2 linked regions of the Xenopus tropicalis genome follow. The protein of the gene in region 1 purifies or fractionates together with the protein of each later gene. This does not show direct contact. Links are inferred from orthologs where the notes say so. Each region holds a gene or a part of one and is shown on either strand. Other genes may lie near its edges.

What was found. The genes of interacting proteins can lie anywhere in the genome.
Region 2: the proteins of runx2 (region 1) and ubtf purify together in Homo sapiens (co-immunoprecipitation; 3 studies listed by BioGRID and IntAct, with this or other methods). This does not show direct contact. The link is inferred for Xenopus tropicalis from reciprocal best matches to the Homo sapiens genes RUNX2 and UBTF.

Annotation. Positions count from the first base shown.
Region 1 is NC_030681.2:147,583,227-147,586,875, forward strand, and holds part of runx2 (runt-related transcription factor 2), read right to left. Parts: intron 3,494-3,649; coding exon 3,207-3,493; intron 1-3,206. UniProt on the Homo sapiens protein: Transcription factor involved in osteoblastic differentiation and skeletal morphogenesis. Essential for the maturation of osteoblasts and both intramembranous and endochondral ossification.
Region 2 is NC_030686.2:18,523,214-18,526,962, reverse strand, and holds the start of ubtf (nucleolar transcription factor 1), read left to right. Parts: upstream 1-1,121; 5' UTR 1,122-1,548; exon of another isoform or gene 1,549-1,782; intron 1,783-1,917; exon of another isoform or gene 1,918-2,328; intron 2,329-2,356; exon of another isoform or gene 2,357-2,498; intron 2,499-2,559; exon of another isoform or gene 2,560-2,856; intron 2,857-2,949; exon of another isoform or gene 2,950-3,526; intron 3,527-3,749. UniProt on the Homo sapiens protein: Recognizes the ribosomal RNA gene promoter and activates transcription mediated by RNA polymerase I (Pol I) through cooperative interactions with the transcription factor SL1/TIF-IB complex.

The DNA.
Region 1 (3,649 bases):
ATTTATCCCGCATAGACCTGCAACTTGGAGCATTAAATAAGTAACTTACGCAAAAAAAAAATTCTATAAAAAATGTTAACTCTTTAATACTGGATTGTCGGACTTCATCTCCCAGCAGCCCCTGCAAGCCTGTCTCTTGGTGCTTTCTCTTTCCCTGTTTACTATAGCCAACATTCTCAGCTCTATAAACTATGGTTAATGTTAAAGGGGAACTGCTCCCAAAATCTTTTTCTTTTTTGCATTATGAAAGGAAGCAGAGTGCTAAGCAATATTCCAGTGTTCAGTAAAGATGAAACAATGGGCTGAAAGTGATTTGCAATTGCTACTGAATGTGTATATCCTCTGCACCGTGGGTTCTGACTCTTGAAAAGAGGTTGCCGAAGCCAGACGGCTAACAGACCAGAAGGAGAAGAGACTTCTTGCTACATTATTTGCACAGTCAGAGCCCCCCGGAACAGGAGAGAGGGGCACAGATCTCAGTAGCAATGACAGTCACATATCAATTCCAATGGACATTTCTAAGGAATGGATATTGGGAAATTGCTTAGAATTATCTTTCATTGGGCAAAGCGCAGTTTTGGGGTGCAACTCCCTGATTGGTAATAACTCCTGCCGTCATAAAGGCACTGGGATATTGCTTAGAATTATCTTTCATTGGGCAAAGTGCAGTTTTGGGGTGCTACTCCCTAATTGGTAATAACTGCTGCCGTCATAAAGGCACTGGGATATTGCTTAGAATTATCTTTCATTGGGCAAAGTGCAGTTTTGGGGTGCTACTCCCTGATTGGTAATAACTGCTGCCGCCGTAAAGGCACGGGCAGTTGGAAACCCGGCGTAGGACTGAGAGACTGGCACGCTGGCAGCCACGCTGGGCACAGGGGTCTAAGGGAAACCCATACCAAACGCAGGATGGAAAAAAAACGTAAACACTCGGATTAAGACCAAACCTCTAAATCTAGTAGGAAAGTGTCACCTGGGGGGGCAAATAGGGGGCCCTTATATGAATGGGGCAATAGAGCCGCGTTTCTATCCCTACGAAACCGACGCAAGGCGAGCAACTGGAATTCTGCTCTTTCCGAGACATTAAAAATCAAAATATTGAATTTTTTTTTAAAAAAACAAAACAAAAAACTTTACACGATTAAAAATTTGAAATTTGACAATATTTAAATTCCCCCCTTCCAGTTACGATCTGACTCCTAAACCGCTCATAAAGTGATTTACAGAGAAAAAAAAATGCCCAACATTGCTTTAACCCTTCAGCTGCCAGATGTGCCACAAATCCATAGTCAGCGTTTTCTTTTCCAGCAAAATGGCACAAAAAAACCCCCCCAAAACTAAAAAAACACAGGAAATTTGCAGAACTACAACTCCCAGAATTCTCAACAAAATATCAGCCACATTGTCCACAAGCAACAGATTAACCCTTCCGGTTCCAGGCCCAATAAATTGATCCATACAAACTGGCACTTGTTACAATTACGCCTGAATCTGTCCCTCTGTGCCCTCCCTACGTGGATTTTATTAGGAAACATTTATATTGGGAACTGCCACTCACTAAGGAAAAACTTGATGCCAATTCAGCAGATATTTGAGCCATTTACCAAATAAAACAAAGCAAACAGATCTATAAATATATATAAAAATCCCAATTAATTCTATAGGGTGCAAGTAGGTTGATTAGCAGAAAAGACAATATTATTACATATTATTATTACATATATTTAACATTATTCTCTACTCCCCGCAGCATATTCAGCACAAGCGTTAGAGCAGTTAGAGCAGCCGGGCAGGGGGGCCCCAGTGCAAAATGGGCATTTTTAGACATTTAACTAATTATACATTATGCCTGGTACAGATCTTGGCAGTTGGGCACTGGGATAAAGTGGCATATGGGGTACATGGCAGGGGGTCTGTGGGGCACTGAATGGGTTTAATATTCTGCCTTTCATTTAACAGCTGCCCCTTTGGATACAAGGTGTTTAGTATATAGGTGCCCAGTATATAGCAGTGACTGGGGGAGCACTAGCCAAGCTGGCATGGGATTATGGGCATTCGCTGGTTAATGTGCCCAGCAGATGTGTAGGAATGGCACTACAGCGGCACTATGCAGTTCTGCCCCATGTTACACTGGGCAGTCGCTTCCACACAGTTAAAAGAATAGAATTAAACATACAATGTGCCATCTGTGCCAAGTTTACACAGCAACACAGCGACACTGGCACATTAATAATAATAGGGATTTAATAATAGGGGTCTCTATTAAACTGCAATATTCTACATACAGTCTAACGAGGGTTCAGTATATATAAATGTATATAACAGGGATGGGGGCAATTGAGTTAGATATACTGGGCCTTTGGGGTATCTCCCATATACAGGGATAGAGCACTGGCAGTGGTTCTGGTTCTGTATAACTGGATCTGGGATTCTGCTGCCTGGACCCTAATATATATATATATATATATAGTGACAATATGGATACATTGTGTATAAGGGACTGGGGACACATTTGGGCACATTTCCTCCCAGAAGCTTTAGAGAACTGATATGGGGATCCCTCTATGGAAATACAGGACCCATATATTCCCAATATGCCCAATATATATACATTCTAACATAGGGGCTCATGGAAGTGAGTATAGAAATGTAGTATGGAGGCAATAATCCTGCATTGTGAGTCTGGGGGGCATTTAGTAAATGCGCTATTTCCAGCCATAACGCTAATTTGGCTCCATATATAATATATATATACTCTGTATAGAAGCGATAGGGGCAACTGCTGGGCTCACTGACCCAATATAGACACATTCTAACATATGAGCTGATAGAAGTGAGTATAGAAATGGAGTATGGGGGTAATAATCCTGCATTGTGAGTCTGGGGGGCATTTAGTAAATGCGCTATTTCCAGCCATAACGCTAATTTAGCTCCATATATACTATATATATACACTCTGTATAGAAGCGATGGGGCAACTGCTGGGCTCACTGGCAACACGTACCTACCTGCCTTCTGCTAAATGTACTATTTATAGCGATGGCGCTAAGTTGCCCATACCGCTGTACATACACAGCACCGGGGTGGCGCTGGATACAGTCTGTGGGTGCATTTTGGGCGCAGGCGGTATGTTTGGTGGGAAGGAGGGAATTGCGCCGAGTTGCACTGGCCCTGCGGCAGGTTAGTAAATAGCCCCCGGCACTCACCTTGAAAGCCACCGGCAGGGTCTTGTTGCAGCGCCAGTGGGAGGGCAGCACTGAGCACAGGAAGTTGGGGCTGTCAGTCCGCACCAGCTCGGCCGGGTGATCCGCGATGATCTCCACCATGGTCCGGTTATCGGGAGCCCGCAGCCGGGGGACCGCCGCCCCCTCCTGTTGCTGCGGCTGCTGGGACTGTTGGGGCTGCTGCGGGCCGCCCACCGGGCTCACGTCGCTCATCTTGCCGGGCTGGAGGCTGTTGGAGGGCGGGCTGAACCTCCGGCTGGTGCTGGGATCTACGGGAATACGCATCACAACAGCCAGGGGTTATTAGCAAGGCGGGGGCAGCAGGGGGGTAACAAGGAGGGGATGCGGCACCCACTTACTGACAGGGCACAGTGCCCGGCATGGGCACAGGGGGGCAAGCAGGTACCGGTGGGGCAGCAGGAGGG
Region 2 (3,749 bases), on another chromosome or scaffold:
AGCTTTTGAGAGGGTCCGGCGCAACCAGTCCCTCCATCCGGCCAGACTGCACCAGTATATTTAAGGTAGGAAAGGGGCCTGGGAGGGGGGACTAAGGCACAGCAGACCCTGCAGTCGGGCCCCCCACCCCAGTCAGGGTTGGACTGGGCCCAAAACCCATGGCGCTCTCTCCCCTGTTGCACATAAGCTAAGACACACGGCAGAGGGAGTTGAGCAGACAGTGGGGGCCAGGACAGGGCCCCCCAGTTCAACCCTGTATATAGTTACACCCCTGGTTAGCACTGCTGTCTGGGTTTCATTCTAGCCTGGGCACTAGCTGCAACTCCCTGGGATTCCTCCCACACTCCAAATACATACAGGCAGATTAAGTGGTACTGATAAATTGACCCTAGTGAATGTGGTAGCAACCTTAGATTGTAAGCTCCACTGGAGCGGGGGCTGGTGTACAATCTCTGCTCATTGCTGCAGTGTCAGTACCATATAAATAAGGGTTAATAACTGTAAGGCGCAAAGCCCTTCCCCTGGCACAGTATGGGCTCCTGGCATCTCTAGCTGCTCCCCGCTCATTATGCCTGATTGCTGTTCATGTTAAAGAGAGAGAGAGAAGAAACCCTCCTTGATGTGCCAGGAAAGCTTCCCCCATGATTGGCTCCCTCTCTCTGACGCTTTCAACAACAAAGGTGGAGTCAAAAAAAAAATTAGGTTAAAAAAAAGGAGAAGATAAATAAGAGTCAGACAGGAACAACATATAGGGAATAAAAACCTGTTATGGGGGGTTTAGCGCCTGTGTATGGTTGGAAGCGCTGAGCAGCCAGCAGCCGCCGGATCTGAGCAGCCACCAAGCCCTGCTTCAACCATGATCACTGTATTGTTGGACTACAGCTCCCAGAATGCCCGCACAGCCTATCTGGGAGCTGTAGTTGGACAACAGCTGGAAGCAAATTGCTGCCGTATGAGGTGAATGTGAGGGGTGCCTGTAGCGGCAGCTGGTAATGGGGAGCAGATTGCGGTGCTGGCTGGATGGAGGAAAGGGAGGGATGGAGGGATCAGCTGGAGCCTGTTGCAGGGAGAGATTGGAGGGGGCCTGGCTGATTGGAAGGCTGTATAGGCACGGAGAGCGATGGAGGCGGGGGAAGTGCGAGCTCTCTGCGGGGACTGGGTCTGAGTCCACGCCCGGGGCCAGCGCTGCAGATCTGGCCATCATTCAAGCGCCGCTTCCCCAGCCTTGTACAGGGGAGGAGGAAGCCGAGCCCGGGCTGCACACACACACACAGGAGGTGGGTTTCACTGAGCTCCATAGAACTCCCCCGGAGCTGGCGAGGCCCCCCTGCCGGGCTGTGTAGGGTGCAGCAGCGGGAGGAGGAGGAGGCGGCTCCCCGCGTTCTGTCTGCCCGGCTGCTGCTGCAGCGACGCTGGGCGGGGAGAAGGAGCAGGCAGCGCCCCCCCTCCCCCGGAGCTCTCGCCATTACCCAGGGGCTGCCGCAGCCGCTTTGTCTCCGAGATCCGGACAAGCAGATTCCCCCCAACATCCCTGGGAGAGACAGTGGGGTAAGCCGGCTTGGGGGTCTGCGGGCACCTGGGGACGGATACGGCACAGATCGCTGGATTAGTATAAAATCCACTACCGGCCGGGGAATTTGTAGCCACCGAAGGGCGTTAGTGTGCGGGGAAACCCGGGGAAAATGTCACCTCCAAGCGGGCACGATTCAGTCGGGCTTGCCGAGAAACATGCACTTTTCTCGGTCACCTTGCGCGACTCACCCCGTTGCGGTTATGGGGAAGGTACGTGTAGCCTCAGTTTCCCTGCCCGGGCTCACCCTGCGGGGCATGGGTTTGTTTAATGCGGGGAAGGGCACTGTATGTGACGGGCAGTGTGGAACCCAATAAGGGCAATAGCAGCCCGGGTTCCCGCTGCGCCCTCTCCCAGGCACCCTCCCCTCGGGCTTTGGCTTGTTTTTCTCGGGAAGAGGCTGCTAGTTCCGCGCTGGGGCTGCTGAGGTCGCTCTCCCCCGAGTCTCCGGCTCCTCCTCCCCCCTTGGCCGGAAGGTGAGGCCCGGCAGCTGGGAACAAGGTAAGAGCTGCGGAGGGGGAAGGAGAGAGACGTTCCCAGGGGAGCAGAGAGGTGGGTGCCCGGGAAGATTGCGGGGAGCTGCGCCGACACGGCTCGGAGCACCGAAGGGAGGGGGCCGGGAACATGAGGCAGAGCTGGCCGGGGCTCGGGTGCATATTGCGGGGAAACGCGAGGGGGCGTCCGGCTGCTGTTGCGGGGCTTCCGGGCGCGACACGTGGGCTGGCAGGGGACTCGGGCTGGGGACGGCGCTTCTCACGGTGAGTAGGAGCGGAGAGGGGGTAGAAGGTGACCCTGTTTCCCGGGAAGAACAGATGCTGCCTGGACTGCGCTGCCGGTAGTTAAGGAGGCAGTCGGCCGGTGTCTAACGGGGAGCGAAAGAATCATTCGCGGGTAGAAGCGAAGGGACCCATTGTGGGCAAATAACGAGGTGGGTGAAAGTCGGCCGAGCCTGTGGCGCATTATACTACCGCAGGCAGCCCGACTGGATCGTCTGATGGTTTAACCATACGGGCTCTGCTTTAGCCGAATCCGATTCGGAGCCTTTCCCCGCACCTTGCTCAAGGCAGCCCAAGCGGCTTCCCGGCACAGGGTGAACGAGTCGGGGCTACCAGCGATCCCAATGAAAAGCGTTTTAAGGCGGAGGCTCCCCCTGGGTCGCGGAATGGGCTGATCCGTACTAGTGGAAGCCGTGCCGCGGCAGGGAAGGAGCGGACGCCGGAGCTACGGCTGGTCCATAACAAAGGGGGGAGCGCTTTTCTCGGGAGCCGCTGGTTCGGAAGCGGGCGGTAGGTTAGGGTGTATTCCTCGCTACGGACGGGGGCTCGAAAAGATGCTATTTACTGGTACGGAGAGTCAGAGCCCGGGGTGGGGGTTGGACTAAGCGGGATAGGGTGCCCGGAAAGCTGGTGTTTTGGTCCAGTAAGGACCAGCCCCGCAGGCATTACTCGCTAGGGTCAGGGGTTCCCGGGTGAGACGGTTCTTCGGTAGAGTCAGTGGGTTGTGTCAGGTTGGAGCGACCCCTCCCTGGGACTGGAGACGGGAGAGTACCGCTGGGTATGCGGCAGTGCTCAGTCGGGCCGCCCTTACGGCTAGGAACCCGGCTTTGCCTGGGGGTCGCTGCCGCGCTAATCCTCCCTCGCACCGGACTAGGGTTGTACAGTTACCGGGACCGCATCGCTGCTGCTTCCCGACGCGCCCAACAGGAATCCCGGCTCCCAGCCAGAAGTTCCTCCCTTTCGGGGGTGGGATACGTCTGCTCTTTCCGGATCCCGTCCCCTCCCGGTGCTGGGCGGGTGCTACGGTGAGAGGCGGCGGGGGCCCCCTGCAGGCAGAACGGAGAGTCCTAGCCCGACTCGGGGTGGGGAATTGTGACCTCAGAGCGCCCTTTCCTGGAAATAGAGCAGCGCTGCTTCTTAGTACCCAGTCCTGTAGCCGGAGCTCGGCCCGTACTGATCGGTGTGTTTGTATGGCAGCTCCTACGCCGTGTACGATTCCCTGCAACTGGCGCTGCTGTTGAAAACTGTAGTTCAGCATCAGTCACGTCACACACACATTTGCACTGCTGCCACTAGACTCGTTTGGGTTTAATAGCAAAACCATTTAGGACCCCTTCACTTTTCCAGTAAGACATGGCCACTGTGACCCCCTATATCTCCTGGACTACCCCAAAAGTCGCAGC